Linked DNA regions of Ovis aries. The protein of the gene in region 1 purifies or fractionates together with the protein of each later gene. This does not show direct contact. Links are inferred from orthologs where the notes say so. Each region holds a gene or a part of one and is shown on either strand. Other genes may lie near its edges.

Evidence for each region.
Region 2: the proteins of ARPC5L (region 1) and ARPC1A fractionate together in Homo sapiens (co-fractionation; 7 studies listed by BioGRID and IntAct, with this or other methods). This does not show direct contact. The link is inferred for Ovis aries from reciprocal best matches to the Homo sapiens genes ARPC5L and ARPC1A.
Region 3: the proteins of ARPC5L (region 1) and ACTR3 purify together in Homo sapiens (affinity purification with mass spectrometry; 6 studies listed by BioGRID and IntAct, counting the BioPlex papers as one, with this or other methods). This does not show direct contact. The link is inferred for Ovis aries from reciprocal best matches to the Homo sapiens genes ARPC5L and ACTR3.
Region 4: the proteins of ARPC5L (region 1) and ARPC3 purify together in Homo sapiens (affinity purification with mass spectrometry; 7 studies listed by BioGRID and IntAct, counting the BioPlex papers as one, with this or other methods). This does not show direct contact. The link is inferred for Ovis aries from reciprocal best matches to the Homo sapiens genes ARPC5L and ARPC3.
Region 5: the proteins of ARPC5L (region 1) and ACTR3B purify together in Homo sapiens (affinity purification with mass spectrometry; 3 studies listed by BioGRID and IntAct, counting the BioPlex papers as one, with this or other methods). This does not show direct contact. The link is inferred for Ovis aries from reciprocal best matches to the Homo sapiens genes ARPC5L and ACTR3B.

The regions. Positions count from the first base shown.
Region 1 is NC_056056.1:11,024,877-11,027,262, forward strand, and holds the end of ARPC5L (actin-related protein 2/3 complex subunit 5-like protein), read right to left. Parts: coding exon 2,211-2,386; intron 1,049-2,210; coding exon 986-1,048; 3' UTR 501-985; downstream 1-500. UniProt on the Homo sapiens protein: May function as component of the Arp2/3 complex which is involved in regulation of actin polymerization and together with an activating nucleation-promoting factor (NPF) mediates the formation of branched actin networks.
Region 2 is NC_056077.1:37,483,597-37,487,658, forward strand, and holds the start of ARPC1A (actin-related protein 2/3 complex subunit 1A), read right to left. Parts: upstream 2,801-4,062; 5' UTR 2,675-2,800; intron 1-2,674. UniProt on the Homo sapiens protein: Probably functions as a component of the Arp2/3 complex which is involved in regulation of actin polymerization and together with an activating nucleation-promoting factor (NPF) mediates the formation of branched actin networks.
Region 3 is NC_056055.1:178,988,741-178,992,972, reverse strand, and holds the start of ACTR3 (actin-related protein 3), read right to left. Parts: upstream 2,801-4,232; 5' UTR 2,587-2,800; coding exon 2,543-2,586; exon of another isoform or gene 1,831-2,542; intron 1-1,830. UniProt on the Homo sapiens protein: ATP-binding component of the Arp2/3 complex, a multiprotein complex that mediates actin polymerization upon stimulation by nucleation-promoting factor (NPF).
Region 4 is NC_056070.1:54,364,323-54,368,544, forward strand, and holds the start of ARPC3 (actin-related protein 2/3 complex subunit 3), read right to left. Parts: upstream 2,801-4,222; 5' UTR 2,709-2,800; coding exon of another isoform or gene 2,703-2,708; intron 917-2,702; 5' UTR 883-916; coding exon 865-882; intron 106-864; coding exon 6-105; intron 1-5. UniProt on the Homo sapiens protein: Component of the Arp2/3 complex, a multiprotein complex that mediates actin polymerization upon stimulation by nucleation-promoting factor (NPF).
Region 5 is NC_056057.1:116,721,384-116,725,658, forward strand, and holds the start of ACTR3B (actin-related protein 3B), read left to right. Parts: upstream 1-1,475; 5' UTR 1,476-1,563; coding exon 1,564-1,607; intron 1,608-4,275. UniProt on the Homo sapiens protein: Plays a role in the organization of the actin cytoskeleton.

The sequences.
Region 1 (2,386 bases):
TGCTCTTCAGACAGGCCCACTGTCAGCGGTTACAGGGAACAAAATGTGCCTTGTCTGTGTACAGGCTTGTTCCTACCTGTTTGTCTCTCCCTCCTGTAAAGAAAACCCCTCAGCATCACAGTCTTCCTGGCGAACAGCCAAGCCCAGCGTCCGGAGGGGTTGATGGGCACACCTGAGCCCACTCCCAGGACTCCCAAGTGCAATCACACAAACTGAAGACTTTATTAAATAAGCTCCAAAACTACATACAAATCAGAGGAGTAAAAACAATAGTTATTCAGCAAAACATGTCTGTGTAGCAGCCAGCAGCACTGTGGCCCAGGCTCGAGGGACCGCTGCAGCCAGAGTGAGAACACCACGCTCGCTCCCAGGCAGCTCTGCAGGGAGTTTTGTCTGTCTACCACTCCACGTCCAGTTTCCAGAACAGGCCACCTCTCATCCATGACCATCCCATTTATTTCCCGTTCCTTTTATACACATGAAACACACGGCAGAGTATATACTAATAAGCCAAGAGCTTTATTGATGCAGCAGGCACTTTACAATGAACCCAAGAGAGCCCGCCTTCTCTGGGAGGTCGGGGTGTCTGTACAAACCCTCGGGGGTTTCCGCTTCAAAAAAAAACCTAGCTCTCCCTTTTACCGCAGCCCTTGGATCTGCACCTGCCCAAACCACCCCTCCCTCCTTTTAAACAGGCAGTGCACACAGGTACCCCGGACCAAGGCGGGCCAGCCACTCTGGTAGAGTCAAAATGTCAGTTCTGCGTTACTCGTGGACAAAGGCATAGACTATCAGATCCTGCAAAGGATTTATGAAAACAGACGATCTCTCCCTCCACCTTGAAAATAAAACACTTCAGCGGATGCAGGTCGTGAAATAGTTGACTTGGGAGTTCCGAGACAGGCGGCCCATTGTCAATCCCTTCTTCGACAGCCTGTGCATCCAAAATTCTTCTTGAGGTAACATGAGTCTCTCTCTTTTTTTTTTAAACAGTCTTTCTTGCTGTAAGAACTCTTATAATGGAGCCTAGTCCTCCTACTGCTAATGCCTGTAGGGGCAGCAAAAGAAAAGGTGTCAATTGAGACCTGGCTGGCCAAGGGGCTCCTAGCTTCTTGCCAGGGGAGACAGGACTACACTCCTGACCATGTCACAGATCTTCTGAAAAAGCATTCCTGCGAGAGCACAGAAGAGGTGTCAACAGGGCCTGCATTCGACGGATCGAGCCCTTTCCTGGAACAAAGGGTCCCCAAAAGCTGTTGGCTCTTTAAGGCAGGAGAACTGGGCTTGCAACACTGTCACCAAGCTCACAGAGCCCCCCAGTTTCCCTTTGACAAGCTCACTGTATCCAGAAACAGCCCTAGGCCCTAAAACAGACACTAGCCCACTGCAGTGGAAATGTCCACAGGCTCATGCATCCGGCTGCCATGAAGGGACCAGAGAGCGTGGCCCCTCAGACGACTCCAAGGGCTTTGCTCAGCTCCCAAGCACCATAGCCACCTCCATTACGAAGCCCAGGAGCTCACCTTCTGGCAGGGCAGGCAGAACACCCACCAGCAGCACCAAAGGCCACAATTCAGCCCAGGCCTGAGGCTGGCCATGTGACTGACCCCTCAGTTAAGGGCCACTCCCTTAGTACTCGGCAGAGCCTTTCATGAGGGACACTGGCTTGACAAGAGGTGGCCCTCCCTCCACCCCCCCACCCCCTACCCACCCCCCAACACCTTGTACTAAAACAAAGGACAGGCCCAGCTTTTCCAGCTTCAGGAGGATGAAGGTCCTATTAAGAGACTGCCAAGGTATCTACCACTGTTTCTGTGTGGCCTGGTGAGGTAAGGCTGGAGCAGGAAGCCCTCAGAGCTAACCGGAGGGCTCAGCCTGCATCTAAGGCCCAGGATCACCACCTCCGCCAGCCCAAAGAAAGTATGTCAAAGCCCTGCCACCAGCAAGCCTACCTGAACCTCACCAGCCAAGTTACAGGCCCCAAGGCCTCCCCGGCACAAACTCAGCTAAAGCAATGGCAATGACCAGAGATGGTGGACCCCTACCAGTGCTTCCTTGGGAGAGGAAAGTGCTCAGATGTTCCAGGTTGCTTGAGGCGTGGCCCTCATTCTCAACGGCCTATCAGACCATCCTGTCTGTGTTTGGGACTGCCTGGCCTGTTGATCTGAACCCTGGGCTGGGGTGAGCCAGCGGGCAATGTGTTCACGTACCTTTTCATGCCACTGGAGTAACACTGCGCTGCTATTCTCTGTGGGCTTCTCAAACCCTTTATAAATGTACTTCATTAGCAAGTCAATGCCGTTTCTGTCCAGTGACTGCACAGCCTGCTCGATTTCGCTGCTCTTAAAGTTTGTAAGCACTTTCAGCACCACGCCCTGGGCCCGCT
Region 2 (4,062 bases), on another chromosome or scaffold:
TCAAAAGAGGTAAACATTTACTCAATGGCATAATTAACTTCTAAAACTGCACTTCTAATTTTGTTATATCATTCAGGTTCCATATTTGGACCTACACTCAGGACCTGTACTTCTATAATCATGTGGCTATTTTAAGTCTGTAGACCAAGACAACATTCATGTTCGTCCAATTCATAAGACACCACCAGTGAACACAGCATGTGTTCACGAAACTCAGTGAAAGTAGAATAATGACAGCTTGGGGTTTTTTTTTTTTTCCACCAAGAAAAAGAAACCTGTCCTAGGGTGATAATTATCATTTCTAAACTGTGATTTCTACTTAAGTGAAAAAAAAGCTTATCTTATTGAAGATAGAGAGAAGAAAAAGGGACAGACAAAAAAAGGTGATGATATTAACAAACTTCTACTGATGACCTTTTAATGGCCAGCATGGAAAGGGAGAGAATGACTTCTTTGTAGCACGATATGACTCCAGGGGACCCCTCCATCCCTCAGTTCCTTTCTCTACCTATCACTTGAGTCTCTACCTATCACTTGAGCCATGGGCGGTGGAGTCAAGGGGACCTGGGTTTGAATCCTGGCTTTAATACACACTAGCCAGGAAATCCTGGGCAGGTCACTTGCTATCTCCCAAACTCATTTTTCTTCATCTGTGAAATGGACATAGAACTGACATCGCAAGGCCAGTGGTGGGAGGATTAAATGAGAAAGCACATGAACACATGTGGTTCAAAGCCTACCCCCAAAGAGATACTCAATAAATGAGTTCCCTTTCTCCCTCTGACCCAGCCCCAGAAATACACTCCAGGGAGTACCCTCTGAATTGGGAACACCTTCCTGGCCCTGGAGCTTTAAAGTAATTGTACAGTAGGGATGTCAGTTCCCTACTTAAGGTCAGTGCTCTAGACTGTGATTCATCCAGTTTTTAATTGCTCTCATCACCCAACCCAGCACTACCAGGTACTCTGACAAGGTCACCACACCCTCTACAGTGTTCAGGGACAGGTTCCAATTCCAGCCTCAACCAGCAGACTAAACCTCATTAGGCAGAACCTGTTTCGGCATAGGATTAGTTAACTAGATGGAATTACTGATCCTCTCCCTCCTAGCAGGAGATTTATTTTTCCAAGATGATCCCCTCCTTTAACTGTGATAAGCAGATGAATTAACCTTGGAAGGTCTCCAAATACTTTGAGGTAGAAGCAGCCACTTACACCTACTCCCTCACGTGGCAAAAATATCCTCCTGAATGATACTCTCTCCTTTTTTTTTTTTAATAGATACTTGAAACACCCAGGGTCTATTGGATACTAAAAGGCTAGATTTAGAAACTGATTAAAGAAAGAGGGCAGAACTAGGATAATTTAGGTAATTTCGGCAAGGAGTTGAATTAGATAAAAGTAGGTTAGCACTGCCTTCTGGTTCCAAAGCCCCAGTATGAGAACAGATGGCTTTATAATAAAAGATTCTAAACTACAATGTATTAAAGAAAGTGAAGTTGCTTAGTCGTGTCCAGCTCTTTGCGACCCCATGGACTATAATCTATCAGGCTCCTCTAACCACGGGATTTTCCAGGCAAGAATACTGGAGTGGGTTGTCATTTCCTTCTCCAGGGGATCTTCCCAACCCAGGGATCGAACTCAGGTCTCCTGCATTGCAGGGAGGAGATAAATATGCTTTACCATCTGAGCTACCAGGGAAGCCCACAGTGTATTAAAGGGCCTACCATATTCCCAGCAGTGGAGCAATACCAGGTTGGGACCAGAAACATAAATAAATCTGACACTTCTCTGGTCCACAAATCTGGGGGGAGAAGGGTAGAAGAGGAAGGGAAGACACACAGACAATATAAGAAGCACGAATAAAACTTAATTGAGCACATACTAAGGGACAGGGGCTATCCTAAGCAATGTATGCAAATAAGCTCACTGGAGCCTCAGAAACCCCTTAAGGATCTTATAAATGTAGATGAGAAAACGGGGATTCAGACCAGCAATCTTCCCAGGGTCATCCAAGCAGTCGTGGTGCCGGGATGGGAGGGAGGCTGGGCAGTCCGACTCGAGGATTAGAAATGAGAAAAGGTGCTAAAGGTTGCACGGAGGACTAGGAGCGCCGGGGGTCGACCGCGACTTAGGGGAAAGAGGCACTCAAGCGGGGAGATTCTTAAAGAACTCGGGGGAGGCTTCTTCGCCGGTTCGGAAAGGTTCCCCCTATAGCTGAAGGATGCAGGGCTGCCCTAGACAGGAACAGACACTCCAGGGGCGCTTACTGCGCTCAGGGACCCTATTCTAGACGCTGAAGCTAAAGGAATGAACCGTGCCTCGCGACGCGCGATAGGGTGGGGGTGGTGATCCCATTCACTACAATTTTAGCGCCTGTGATAAACGCCCACAATGGAAGCGCAGGAGAAGCGATCTTTCATTCTGGCATTGGAGGAGCATCGGAACTTGGAAATCGCTGAGAGATGGATCTGGGCGTGCGGGGACCCCAGGGCTCGGCAGGCCCCTCAGAGAACACCGCCTCCCCGCCCCCTCCCCCGGCCCGCCCCTCCCCTCCGCCTCCGGGCCCCGCGGCCTAAGCCCCCGCCTTGCTGCCCCCGCAGGTACAGATCGGGAGCGAGGCCCGGGCCAGGGGAGGCCAGCAGGGCCCGAACCTCGCCCCCGCTGCCCCTTACCTGGGATCGGGGCCGTCCGGACGGGCTCGGAGCGTTGAATTCGCGGACTCTGGTCAGTCGACGCGAACAGGCTCCGGCGGGCGCGGGCGGAGGACCGAGGCCCAGAGGGAGCGGCTGACAGTTCCCGGAAGTGGCCACGGCGCCTGCGCGGCGCGGCGGCGCGGGCTGTCGGCGCACGCGCGCCCCGGGGCGCGCGCGCTGCGGGGAAGGGTCGGGCGGCTTCTAAGGAGTTTGCGTCCAGAGACCGCTGGGAGCTGGTGGCGGGGCAGCGTAGACCTCTTGGTGCTTTCCTCGCAAAATGTCCTGAGACTCGAGGACCGAAGCGCGGAGCCTTGGCGCTTTCTCAAGTGCTTTGGTCACGGAATGAATTCCTGAGAATTGGGACCTTTTGAGCCAAACGAACGGACAAATCCCTACTTTTTTTTCCTCCCTCTGTGAGGAGGCCTCTTCAGAGCCCGCCCTCCCTCTGTGGAGGTCTCTCCAAGGAACGTTCTCTACCCTTCTTGGGTCAGAATCGTTCCCTGCTCCCGAGCTGGCGCCACAGGACCCAGGAGTTGGGGGAGTTCAGCCGTCCCCCAAACTCAGGAAGACAGTGACCTGAACCCCTCTTTCCACCAGACTGGCTGCCCTTGAAGTCAGAAATTATGGACCAGCTCTCCTGTCCCTGGGGTGATTGACCCGGAAACTTGTCAGGTGATGTTCACCACAGTGAACTTGTCAGATTCCCGACTTAACAGCCACACGTACTGTCTTCTCTGGGGCTGTTTATTCAGCGCTAATGCCCTGGAATAAATAGTTATCTTTGGTCCTAGGGCGTTCTAGGGCACATTGAGAGTGGAAAGATCATTTTCAGTTAATTATTCTCTCCTGGAGACAGCATCCTGGCAGGGGAAGGACCGCACGTGGAAGCGAGGATTCCTCTTATGTCTCCAAGTCAGATGAACGAATCCGGATGTAGAGTTGTTACCCAGGGTCAAAATGCCATCAGTGTTTTAGTTAGATCCCACCTCTTTACAAAGGACAGTTCCTTCTTTGAAGGGGTTTATAGGCTGGGTAAATGAGAGGGATACATACAAATCAGTAATACCAGACTCTTTATGATAAATGACAAGGTAAGAAATAATTTAGCCCCAGAAGAGTAACAATGAGACATTTTAATGTTAATCACTGATTCTATCTTTTGAGTTAATATTTTGCATTTCAGCCTAAACAAAGCTTACCATTTGATGCATTTTCTTTCATATTTTATGAGCCATTCTGGATGGTAGACTCTTAGTTCTTCAGGGGCTCTTAAGTGAAACCATCATGTTCTATAACTGAGGAAACAGGGCCAGAGGTTTTTGAGACTCCGGGAAGATTTTGATGGAAATCAGTGGCAATGCTGACAT
Region 3 (4,232 bases), on another chromosome or scaffold:
CAACAAAGACCAAAATGCCTTCTGAAAACCACAATAAGTATATATCTGGAACTTCCCTGGTGGTTAACACTCTGAGTTTCCAAAGCAGGGAGCAAGAGTTCGATCCCTGCTCAGGGAACTAACATCTCACATTCCGCATGGGCAATCAAATTAAAAATAAACAAATAAATAAACGGATCTCTAAAGGTGGAATTTCAGACAGTGACAGATGGTAAAAGAAAGTAAGAAGAATTCTTAGATCAGTTTCATTTAAATCATGACTGTCCAGCTAACACAACCTCTCCCTATGAGATAAAACTAATGTAGTAATATAATTAATAACTGATCATTAAAGCAAAAATATCCTAAGTACAAGGGGCTTCCCAGGTGGCTCACTGGTAAAGAATCTGTCTACCAATGCAGGAGACACAGGTTCGATTCCTGGGTGGGGAAAATCCCCTGGAGTAGAAAACGGCAACTCACTCCAGTATTCTTGTCTGGAAAATTCCATGGGCAGAGGATCCTGGCAGGCTACAGTCCACCCGGCCGCAAGGAGTCGGACACAGCTCAACAACCAAGACTGGGCAGCATCCTAAGTACAGACTGAACCCCCTCCCCCACACCTCATGGTAACTCAGTCTGTGTTTTAAATTCAAAGCTGCCCTATCAGAAAGACACTTAAGGATAGTTAACCTCAAAGAAATACCCAGCATACTAATTCAAACGTAATCAAGATTTCAAAAGGGAAAAAATTAAATGAGAAAAAGTTAACACCTTACCTAAGATATTACCATTAGGGCAACAATTATCTACACTAATTTTATCGACAAGGCAATAATTACTAAAGCATAGAATATTAACTATGTAGCAATATTTTTCACTGTAACAAAACATACTTGAAAATTCTTTCTCAGTCAAGCTGCCAAATCTAATTTTAAAACTGACCCTAAACATAAAACTACTCCCCAACTGGACTAAGAAGGAAGGCGGGAAAAAAAAATACTGATTCAAGCAAATAAAACTGGATTAAGAAAAATAATCACCTATCCATCAAAAATCTACATAGAAGTTTCATGGCTAAACAACACTGGTTTATTATTATATTAATAAATCGGTTATTTCCTTCTGCACGGCTGGGATTTTACAAACTGCCACACTTTCATAAAGGTATGATCATGAGGATTATAGAGAAATTTCACACAGAACAAACTGAGTGAGGAGTATACCATCCTTTAAGTAACAATAGTTCGCTAAAGAGTAAAAAGGGAAGGGAAAGGCTGACAATCTACTTCTCATAACTCCGTCCAAAATTGGGGGAATTGGAGAAGTAATCATGTATCAGCACAGCATTCACAAGCACAAGAAAACACTTCCAATAGTGAAACATAAAGCAGTCACTCTGCATTAAAACACAGGCAATATTTTCTACGATAGTATAAAGTGTGCTATAAACGCCTATTAATACAAAAGGAACGACCACTTCCACACCGTTATATACTTTAGTAAACTACACTGCAGATCCATAATAACTCCTTGAAAAGCAAGTACCTCCCTTTACAACTCTATTACCTTCCTTCTCTCCTTAAGACACGGTCACAGAATGAACCTATACAACTTAATTTTCCTGGGTGCTTCACTTCCTTCCTCTCAGTGCAACGCAAATATACTTTTTAAGTTCACAGAAATTCATACCTAGCACCAGTACCTCAGCCTATTTGAAAACTGCTTGATTTTGAAAGTTCTAATAAGATGTGTTCAGGTTGGAAACGAAAAACTACCTTATAAGGGTATAAAAGACTGAAAGCAGGAAGCGGCTTTGACAAAACTAAGGAAGTTGCAGCGCGCTTGCTCACTGGGGGACTTTTTTGAGGCAAGAGAAGTAACACATGACATCTTTCTCTCAAATTAAAATGTGAGTTGGTTGGCCGGTAGGAACGTAGTGGGAGATGGAAAAGACCGGGAGTCGAAAAGGAAGAGGAGGTGGGTGGTCCAATGAAAGCCCCGATCTAGGTTCCCATTTTCAGGGTCCGATTCTTCCCTTTCCCCTCCCACACCCCGGGTAGAATGTTGTCACAGCAATCTTGCAAAACCTACAAGGAGCGCTTCTCTTTTCTCGCTCCTTTGCCCGGCCAGTCCCCGCGCTCCATTCCCCCCGGTCTCCAAACCTACGGGCAGGAAAGGGCACCGGGCAAAGGAGGGTCGGCTGTGCGGGGCTCGAAGACCACCCCCACGCGACCGCGGGCCCCGGGGAGGCGCCCGTCCCCGCAGCCCCTCGGGCGGCGCTGCCCACCGCGGTGGGGGAAGGGCCGGGAGGGGTGGCGCGGAGGAAGCCGCTCCCCGGGGTTTCTGGGCCCCGCGCCGCCGCCCGGCTCCCAGAGGGTGCAGCGCGGGGGATGAGGGAGGCCCTGACTGCGGGCCCCACCCCTCGCCACCCGGCGCGGCCCGGGCTGACACAGCCGGCGGCAGCACCTTGCCGCTCCATTCATCTCCCGGCCTCCTCCCGGCCCCGCCATTTTCCTGCCTCCGCCTCAGTTTCCCCACCCCCGCCCATCAGCCCCCTTACCCCGTGCCACAGTCCACCACACAGGCCGGCAGCCGTCCCGCCATCTTCCTCCTCGCCTGCTGCTGCTGCTGCCGCCGTCTGCTCCGTGCCGTTTGGGGCCAGGGATGGGCGGCGGGAGGTGGAAGCTATCTGACCATCCACGGCCGGGCCACCCTCTCCGTCTGGGGGGGAGCCGGGAAGCCGAAGCAGTAGCGAGAGAGAAGCAGGCTCGGTCAGCGGCTACCACTTCCGCAACCCGGGCAGGCAGGCAGTCCCCGCCCTGCCCCGCCGCGGCCTCCTCCCCCTCTCTCTCCCCTCCTCCTCACTCCTGCCCCCACCCTACAACTTCTTCCCCTCACACCGCCTTTCCCCGGGAAGCCAAGATGGCCGCCAGTGCCGACGCCCCGGCCAGGACAGGCCTAGGCCTCGAGCGCTCCCCCTTCCGGCTCCGAGCGGGCGGGGCGAGAGAGCATGCGCACTGAGGAGCGCCGCCGGCTGCCGCTCCCATTCCGAAGGTGAGGTAGTCCACTTCGGGTGTTCTCCAGGTAGGGTTGGGTAGGTCTGCCCGAGTCTCCAGTTCTCCTTCTGAAGCTGGAAGGGGTTTTTCGTTGCAAGTACTTCTGCGCTAGGTTGAGGAAGCAATGGAATCGCATTCCACAGCCACAACTATCTTCCGGTGCTCCGACGAAAACGGCCTAATTGAAAACCTTGTCAGCGGCACCCATCCGATTTTATATCTTGAGCGGCTCCTTTTCTGGTTGGAAAAGAGCTATATCAGACGGAGGGTGAGCCGTTGGAGGAGAGAGGAACAAAGGCTTGCACCGTGGCTCCTCTGCCTTGGTACTGTTTTGTTTTGTTTTGTTTTCTTCAGTTACACTTACGCATTGTTACAACGTGGCACATTACAAGTGTTACTGCAAGGGTTAGATTGTAGGCCACCCGGAGGGCAGGCCTGTGCCCACGAGGAAGGCACACCTCACAGGAATGTAAGCCTTTGGTGGCTTTGAATGAGGAGAAAAAAGTACTCTCCGGGGTAGTTTTAGGTTGTACTATTCTACTTGCAGGATGAAACGACGGATTAAGGACCAAACTTTTTAATTAAAAAAAAAAAACTAGAAAGCCTAGAACAGTGACATTTAAACTTCTCAAAGTGTGCATCAGAATTCCGTGGAAGGCTTGTTAAAGCACAGAATGCTGGACTACATCCCTTGAGTTCTCTGATTAGGTGGTCTGGAGTGGGGCCTAGTAATTTGCATTTCTACCCAGTTCCTAGGTGTTGGTCTGGGACCTCCCCCCACCTAGGAAACCTATAATATTAATAGCTTTTTTCTCTTCTGGTTTATCTTCTGATAAACCATATGGATTCACTTATAGGTGACTGAAATAACATTTTTCCTAAGAAAGGATGTCTGATTGCTTCAGAAGATAACATAGAGTGGTGTTAGACCAGCCTGGGCAATGGAATTTAAGCTTTTCATTCATTTGGCAAATAAGAATTGCTCACCCATTCTATTAGGGCAGGGACTATGCTGACCATTAATATTCAGTAGGCACAAAATGAACAAGTTCTCTCCACTGCCGGGTTTACAGTTTAGTGGCAAAACATACAAACTGTATTAAGAGCAATAGAAATTATAATACAGAGGGCGCTGAGAAATGGGGAGGAGGGGTGAGTGAATAGGAGGGAAACAAAAGTTAGGAGAGACTTCTC
Region 4 (4,222 bases), on another chromosome or scaffold:
CTTACTTTCTCTAGGGGCAGGTCCTTTGAACTGACTTCTGATAGGCAATAGTGCCATGTTTCCAATGAGTTTGGTGTCAGGGTCCATGAGGGAAGAGTGGTAAGCCTGTAAGGACAAGCCAGGTAAGAACACAGAAGCAGAAAGAGAGCAAATGTCACTGGGGCAAACAAGTACACTTCCCCAAGGAAAAAAATAATTCATCCAAGATAAACTGGCTCATGAAAACTATCAAAGTTTCAGGAATTCTGAGAAAATTTGAGGCAAGCTAATTGTTGAACACAGCCATTATTAAAAATAAAGTTATAGAAATTTTCAATTAAATAAATTATATTAAAAACAAAGGTAATAAATATTTGACACTTTCATTATTTCCTATTTTAAAATTATTTTACCAATGTCTGTGATCTTAAGGTTAGTTATGCCTTTTGCACCTACGGTGGAAACACTGTATGATAAGGTGCTACTGTGCTTTCCTTCCAATTTCACATCTGGTGACAGAACATTGGTAACTGGTGAGGTATTCACACTATAGAAATAGGCAAACACTATATAAATCAGAGGTACCCAGCAACCCAGCTGGTGTTAAAACCACAATCAAAGAACTGGCTCTTCAGCTCTGCCACTTTCTGGCTTTATGCCTTAAGACATCACTTTTCTTCTCTTAGCCTATTTCTACATTTGTAAAATAAAAACATATATACTTGTTTTAAGTGGGTGGATGTGAGTTAGCGGAGAGAGGAAAAAAATCACATTTATGAGAACAATTTATAGGCCAATTTCTAGTTCGGCATTTTACAAGATGTCTGGCTTTTTGTAAGACAACATGGGCCCCAGTCATTTATTCATCAAAAGATTACTAAGTACCTTCTGTGTGCAAGGCATGTGGAGATATTGGCATGCAAGACCAGCCCTGGCTCTGTCAGGTGAATAGAGGAGACAGAAAATAAGTAAGTCATCACAGGGGAGGTCAAGGGTGCTCTTTGTGCACCTGGAATGATGAGTACAAGGCATTAGGGTTCTGGCTTAAAATCTGGCTTTATCAAGATTTACTAGCGTGCTTATGTATTTAAGGGCTTCCCTGGTGGATCAAATGGTAAAGAATCTGCCTGCAATGCAGGAGACCTGGGTTCAGTCCCTGGGTTGGGAAGATCCTCTGGAGGAGGAAATGGCAACCCATTCCAGTATTCTTGCCTAGAGGAGGAGCCCAGGATTCTTGCCTAGGACAGAGGAGCCTAGTAGGACCCATGGGATCCCAAAGAGTCAGACTCAATCGAGTGACTAACTTTAACTTATGCGAAAATGGATTTAAAATGGATAACCAACAACGACCTACTGTACAGCACATGGAACTCTGCCCATTGTAATGTGGCAGCCTGGATGGGAGGGGAGTGTGGGGAAGAACAGATACATGTATATATATGGCTGAGTCCCTTTGCTGTTAACCTTAAACTATCACAACATTGTTAAATCTACTACACCCCAATACAAACACACAACACACACACACATACTGGTGTGTTACACACTAGTGTGCAACTTTGGGCAAGTTACTTAACTTCTCTGAGCCTCAACTTTCTCCTCTGCAAAATGAAAAACCACTAACATATCCACTTCATAATCACTCTGAGGATTAATTAGGGAATAATTTATACAAACTGTGTAGCTCAGAGTTGGCCTGACATGCATCAGGAGTCAAATGGTAGCTATGGGATTCACCAAACCTTAACTATGGTTTACTCCTTTTTATTACCGATGTGCTTCACCTAACGCAGCCCCTTGTCTCACCTGCACTAGCTATGCTGTCTTATTACCTTCATGGCATTTGCCACTATCTTAAACAATCCCCCCATTTTATTCACATTCACAGATTATGTCTCCTCATTAGAATGTAGACTCCTTAAGAATAGGGACTTGTTGGCCTTATTCACCGCTGTAATAGTGCTTTGGCATGCAGCAGATGCTAAACATCACATGTTACTGAACATGCTTTTTCCTCATCTGCAAAATGGAGACCATGATGGTGATAAATCTACCCGTGACTGTCAGAAATTAAGAACAACCAAACCACCATCAATTTTAACTCCTACTCTGATGCACATTAAACAAACATGTGGAAACTAGGCGCGGACCTTGCACCTGCTCTGAGAGCCCTAAACCCAGCGGCTCAGGGGTGGCAGCCACTGCCGGGGCGACAGGGGAGGAGGAGTCAGGGAAGTGGGGTCGGACAGGCGACAGGCAGCATAAGGGACCCGCCTCCAGAGGCAAAGGAGGAAGTGGGCCTACAGGGAAAAAAAAAAGAAGCCGGGCCCTAGCTGTGATATGAGAAATTAAAAGGGCAGCCCTTGCCTTCACGGCTCTAGTGAGGCTTTGGGAACCCCGCTGGAATCGGGGGGACGGGCAGAGGCGCAAAAAGCGATAAAAAGGATCAAGCTTGGAGAGGAGGGGGCAGACCTGTGGCAGTCTCCTCAGCACGCCCCGGGTCTCTGGCCCACTCTGCCATGCCCTGTTCCTCCACGGCCGGCCGACATCCCCGGGCCGCCCTAATCCCACAGAGGCCGGTCCCTCTCCTCTGGCCTTTCCCCTTCTCAGGCCCCTGCTTTCTCTCTGCCCTCCTCGGCCTACTTTTCTCACCGCACGCAAGACTTCTCGCGACTCTCTCAAATCCCCGCCGTCTCCCGACACCCCCACTTTGGCCCACTTACCGGCATTTTGGAGGCGCCCCGGTTTCAAACCCAACGAAGAGAATCTGGGTAGAGATCGGCGGTTCCGGTCTGGCAGCCCGGGCGGGGTAGGCGGAAGTGAGCCGGAAGGGGAGGGCGAGGGCAGGACGCCGCGCTTCCGGCCTCGCAGTATGTGGCTAGCCGCTGCAGCTGCGCGGATCCGACAGGGCACCAGGGGGCGCTCGAACCCTAGGCAGGGGCTCTGAGTATCGCGCCTGCGTGAAGTGTGGGCGAGAATGAGGTGGATTTCGGGGTTACAGAATCCTAGATATATCACCTCTTTCGTTTTTTCTCCAAGACCACCTTTTCAGTAGCATTCCCTGGGTCATCCTAAATTCAGTCCCACTTCACTGCCCTTTCCCTCAGTTCTTATGATTCATGTTTTACTTTTGGGTTTTGTCTCTGTCCATTCGTATGAACGTCAAAAATGCAAGGACTGTCTGTTTTGTTCACTGCTTATATCCCTACACCTGTAACAGGACGGTACAAGGTAAGCATCAATAACATGTGTTGAGTAAGAGAAGGAACTCAGTCCACTGATTTTAAAAAGGAAAAAATGATCACAGAAGGGATTTGTGTACTACTCTTGTGTGATTACGTACTGCGATTCTTTGTGTAATGGTTGAGAAAAAATTGGTTTGAATCCAGCTCCAACATTTATTGGCTGTGTCACCTTGGCAAGTTAACCTCCATACCTCAGTTTCCTCATCTGAAAATGGAGATAACAGTGATTACCTGAGTTTTGTGAGGAAATGAATTGCATGGAATGTGCTTAGAACTTACATGCCTGGAACATACTAAAAGCTAAGGAATTCTTAATCTTTACCGGAAAGCACCTCAGGTTAAAAGCCAAGTTCACTGCTGCTTCTGGCCATTTCTTTTGCCAGTCCCACAGAAGGAATTACTTTGTCCCATGTTCCCACAATTGATTTCTCATTTATATTTCTGGCCAAATTTTACCTTTTAGGAGGAGACTTCCTTGGTGGTCTCAGATGGTAAAGATAGTCTTCCCTGATCGAGCTGATCTACTGGGCCCTTAAGACTAATTATACACAAGGAAACCTCTAATGAGGGTGACTGTGGGGCTACTTTGCTCCCATCAAAAAAGCCTCCTCTTGTGTGTTAGTCACTCAGTCGTGTCCAACTCTTTGTGACTCCATAGACTGTAGCCCACCAGGCTCTGCTGTCCATGGAATTCTCCAGGCCAAGAATACTGGAGTGGGTTGCCATGCCCTTCTCCAGGGGTTCTTCCCTGGAGAACCCTGAACCCAGATCTCCTGAATTGCAGGCAGATTCTTTACCATCTGAGCACACACCAAACTCTCCATAAGGCTAAATGAGGGAGGTATAGCTCAAGCAGGATGAGGAGGGCAAATGAAAAGGTGTCTTATTTTTCTGACTCTCTCACATGACAGTAACATTAGATCAGGGTGTTTTTGCCCTTTGCATACTCGAGGGCCACAGAAAAAAGAAAAAGCAAGAGATTTCCAAAAAAACATCTA
Region 5 (4,275 bases), on another chromosome or scaffold:
TTCCTCCATACTCCTCACCTTTCTTTTCTTCCCACCTTCTACTTTTCTTTCTAGGTTCCTCAAAAATTTCCTAGATCTGGGCCTTATTTGACCTGAATGAAAGTGAAGTGGCTCAGTCGTGTCCGACTCTTTGCGACACCATCAACTGTAGCCCACCAGGCTCCTCCGCCCATGGGATCCTCCAGGCAAGAATACTGGAGTGGGTTGCCATTTCCTTCTCCAGTATAGGAAAAAAAAAAAAAAAACAAAACACCCTCAAACAAAAAAGGAATCATCATGGGTTGTCTAACATGATCAAGTAATCTACCACTACTTCTCATACGGAAAAGCAGTTTAAAAATGCTTTTAATACCAGTTAAACTGCCTGGAACTACATCTCCAGAAGAGTCCTAAAAAGTAAGGTCAGGAATATATGATAGGGAGGGAGGAGGAAGCAAGTGGAATCTTCTCGACCTTCATAACATAGTTGGTAAGTGGTGTGAACTTTGGTCCGGGTTCCAGGAAGATCTTTTGGACATCACTTCACCTTTGATACTTGAGAATATGTTCCATAATGATCCTGGTGTAGTGTTAACCTGATCGAAGGTCAATCACCCCTTAAAGCTGTCCGTGCATTTGTTGCACAGGTTTTTCTTCTATAGAGGAAAGCATGCAGTGTTCTGACAGGTGTAAGAATTCTAACGTCAAGGTTTTTTTTTCTTTATTCAGAAAACATTTGGGTGTTTCCCGGAGAAGGCGATGGCACCCCACTCCAGTACTCTTGCCTGGAAAATCCCATGGACGGAGGAGCCATGGGGTCGCTAAGAGTCGGACACGACTGAGCGACTTCACTTTCACTTTTCACTTTCATGCATTGGAGAAGGAAATGGCAACCCACTCCAGTGTTCTTGCCTGGAGAATCCCAGGGACGGGGGAGCCTGGTGAGCTGCCGTCTATGGGGTCGCACAGAGTCGGACACGACTGACGCGACTTAGCAGCAGCAGCAGCATGAATGCACCAAGTACTCTGCTGCGCATCCTTGTCATCAGTGGGAAGACATTCAGGAGCCGTATCTAGCGGAGCCTATAGCCTGCTATAGGAGTACAAATAAATATATACACACGGTATAAATTTGCTCCAAATGTTGTGAAGCAAAGCAATAGATTGTTGAGATAGTGAGTAAGGTGCAGGGGGGTGAGGGGGCACCTAGCAGATGAGCAGGGACAGCTTCCTTGAGAAGGTGACATCTGAGAGGAGACTTAAAAGGATGAGGAGTCAGGCTTCGGGGTCAAGTCCACGGTAAGTCAGAAGAGCTCAAAGCCTCTCCCGCAGCGAGGTGGGACGTACAGGGAACGAGGCCCCGCTGCCAGCACTAAAGATGGCGGGCGGCCGGGGGCGGGGACAGGGCGTGTCATCGTAGTGATTGGCCAGGCGGGGGTGGGCGGGGCGTCACGTGTGCCGGCGGCGAGCATCCGGGCTCCCGGCGGCGGCGCTGCGGAGGCTCCCGGGAGCCCGGCGGTGGCGCGGGGCGGCGAGCGGGCCGGCGATCCGGGGAGCCTCCGGAGCCGGCCGCGTGGGCCGAGCATGGCGGGCTCCCTGCCTCCCTGCGTGGTGGACTGCGGCACCGGGTAAGAGCCGCGGGCGCCCGCTCCGGCCCCGGCGCGCCTGCCCCTGCCTGCCCCGCGGCCCGGCCCCCTGGTCTCACCTGGGGTGCCCCGGGCCCGGGTCGCGGCCCTCACCTGTCCAGGGGCCCCCTGACTCACTCACCTTGCTGGGGAGGGAGCCGAGGGGAGACGTGGCCTCCCCGCCTCCTCCTTGCGCTCGGCCGGGGCTCCCCGGGACCCGTACGCCTCCCGGGGGTGCGGGCTGCGCACCCCGCTGCCGTTCCCTCGCCTTCCGCCTGCCTCACGGCGCCCCTGCCTTCTCTTCAAAAGTGGCCCTCGTCCTGGGTCCCTAAGCGCATGCCATTTCTCCTCCCTGATAGGGCTTCTTTATCACTTACTTGTGGGAGGTTTTTACAACCGTCTCCCAAGTTGACATCTTTAAAAAAAAGTGTGTGTGTGTGTGTGTGTGTGTGTGTGCGTGCGTGTGTGTGTTTGCAGCCTACTCTGTCCTCTTCCAGTATTGAATGGTTCAGTCAGGCTAAGGTCTTGCTTTAGTTTGCCTAGAGTTGCCTTTGCACTTAAAAATGTTAAAAAAGGCTCCATTTTGAAAAACAGAAAAACCAAAATGTGGGAAAGGCTGTTGGTGGTAGTATAGTTTCTATGTCTGCCCCCCGCCCCCAGCCCGTTACTTGTGGGCCGTGATTGCTTCTTTTGATGTTGGGATATGCCAAAGAGACCCTTCGGAAATCTCCCGGTCCTTTCCAGTGGCCCAGGCTCCGATCATTTTTAGGAAGGTGCTCGCTGAATCCATTTAGGTTTTGGTTTAGAAAGTCAAGCTTGCCTGCTTGCACTGTAGGTGAAGTGCTTAATAAAATAGCCCAGAAGTAAGTTTAGCCTCTTAGAAAGATTTTTCAAGAGGGGATTTTAGTCATTTTTTGCCACAGAATATTCCATGGCACGTTCACGGTAGCCTTGATTCTTCTCTGTAGAGAAACGCACTTGGTTCAGTTTCCTTGACAACCTTGTGGGGGTGTCTTCCTTAATTTGCTACAGTCCATCTCCTACGGATTGTTCTTTCCTTTTGCTGCAGAAAAAGGAGTGGTTACAATCTGGAAAAAACTGCTTCTTTGCATATATTAATTTTCCTTTCAGAGATACACGTTGTACCAGAAGTTTTGGGGCTCTTTATTTCAGTAGTTGTTTTGCTACCCAGAACCTGAGCCAAAAGCAGTGTTGATAGGAACACCCCCACCCCCAAATACTGGCTTCCTTATGCATCTCCTCCCACCATCTGGTATTCACCCCACACCCACCTGAGGTCTGGTTGTGTCAGGAGAGAAGGCAGCTGGTCAAAGAATCTTTCATCCCCACATTTGCACGTGAGGTTTTTGTGGTTTTGGTCTTATAAAACTGTTGAAATACAAAGTATTTCTTGGTAGAAGCAACAAAATGTGCCCACAGGGTTTGTCATACCTTTAATATTAGTAAGCTGGGAGCCTTACTCATCATTCTTGCTATAAATACCAAAGTGTGGTGCTCAGTTATGACCGTCTGAGGTAGGTGGTATCTCACGTGGCGGTATAACTTCAGGATATCTTTGTCTTCTGGCCCCAAGTTATGTATCGTCTTCAGGCTGTTGTAGGCGTTGTGTCAGGACTAGAAATAGTGGCCAGGGATCCTGCCAGTGGGTTTCACATGGACATAGTCTTTTGTGGGAACGGTGATGGTCAGTCAGGAATTTCCAGTGTCCAGTGTGTGGCCAGGAGGAGGAGCCTGGAAGAGCCCAAGTTTATTTAAGCATATTACTGCTTCTTATATGTCCTGCAGAGCCAAGTGACTTTGGATTGACCTTTAACTCAAAATGGGATAAAAAGGGATAAAATGCAGATAAATATAACTAGGACCGAAGAAAGGAACAGGCCTGGAAAATCACCTTAAACTGTAGGCCCACAGTGCAGCTGGTTGGTCTCAAGCTTGGCCTTCCTGTATGACAAGATTATGAGAGAGTCATCGTCAGTTATGTAATTCCTGTCATCAGGGAAGAAGAGAAATACCTGTTTCTCAGGCGAAAGAGCTTTCTCTAGTACTAAATTCTAAAAGAAAGATTCACACTGATAGTGGACATTTATGATTGAGTAGACAGTATACTCAATGGTGCTTTTTAAAAATAGCAAATAAATTTCATCCTGGGAGCCTGGCCTCATCTAGTAAACCCTGAGACCAGCTTGGTGAGCACACGTGTTCTTGGGGGTGGGATGACATGGACCACAGCTCTGCCTGCTCCACAGATGAAGCTTCGTCCACTTAAGTGAGTTACTGGGCTCCAGAGTGTTCAGAGAATAGCCTCACTTTTCTTAACTGAACTTGTAGTTCTGAAGATTTTTGTATTCTTTAAACTTATTTTGAGAAAGTTCAAATCTACTGAAAAGCTGCAAGAAGAGTACCAAGAAAATGCTATATAGTCTCCATCCAGCATTCTAACTACTAACATTTGCTTTATTGTTCTCTGTATACTTTATGCGTTATTATCTTTCTGAACTGTTTGTGAGTTGCAGCCATCCTGCTGTTTACACCAGGGTACTTCAGTATATCCTTTATGAGAACATGCGTTCACAGACCAGTGATCAGAACCAGAAACTAACGTTTATGCTGCTCTGTGTTACCTGCTCTGCAGTCTGGATGCCGTGAATGG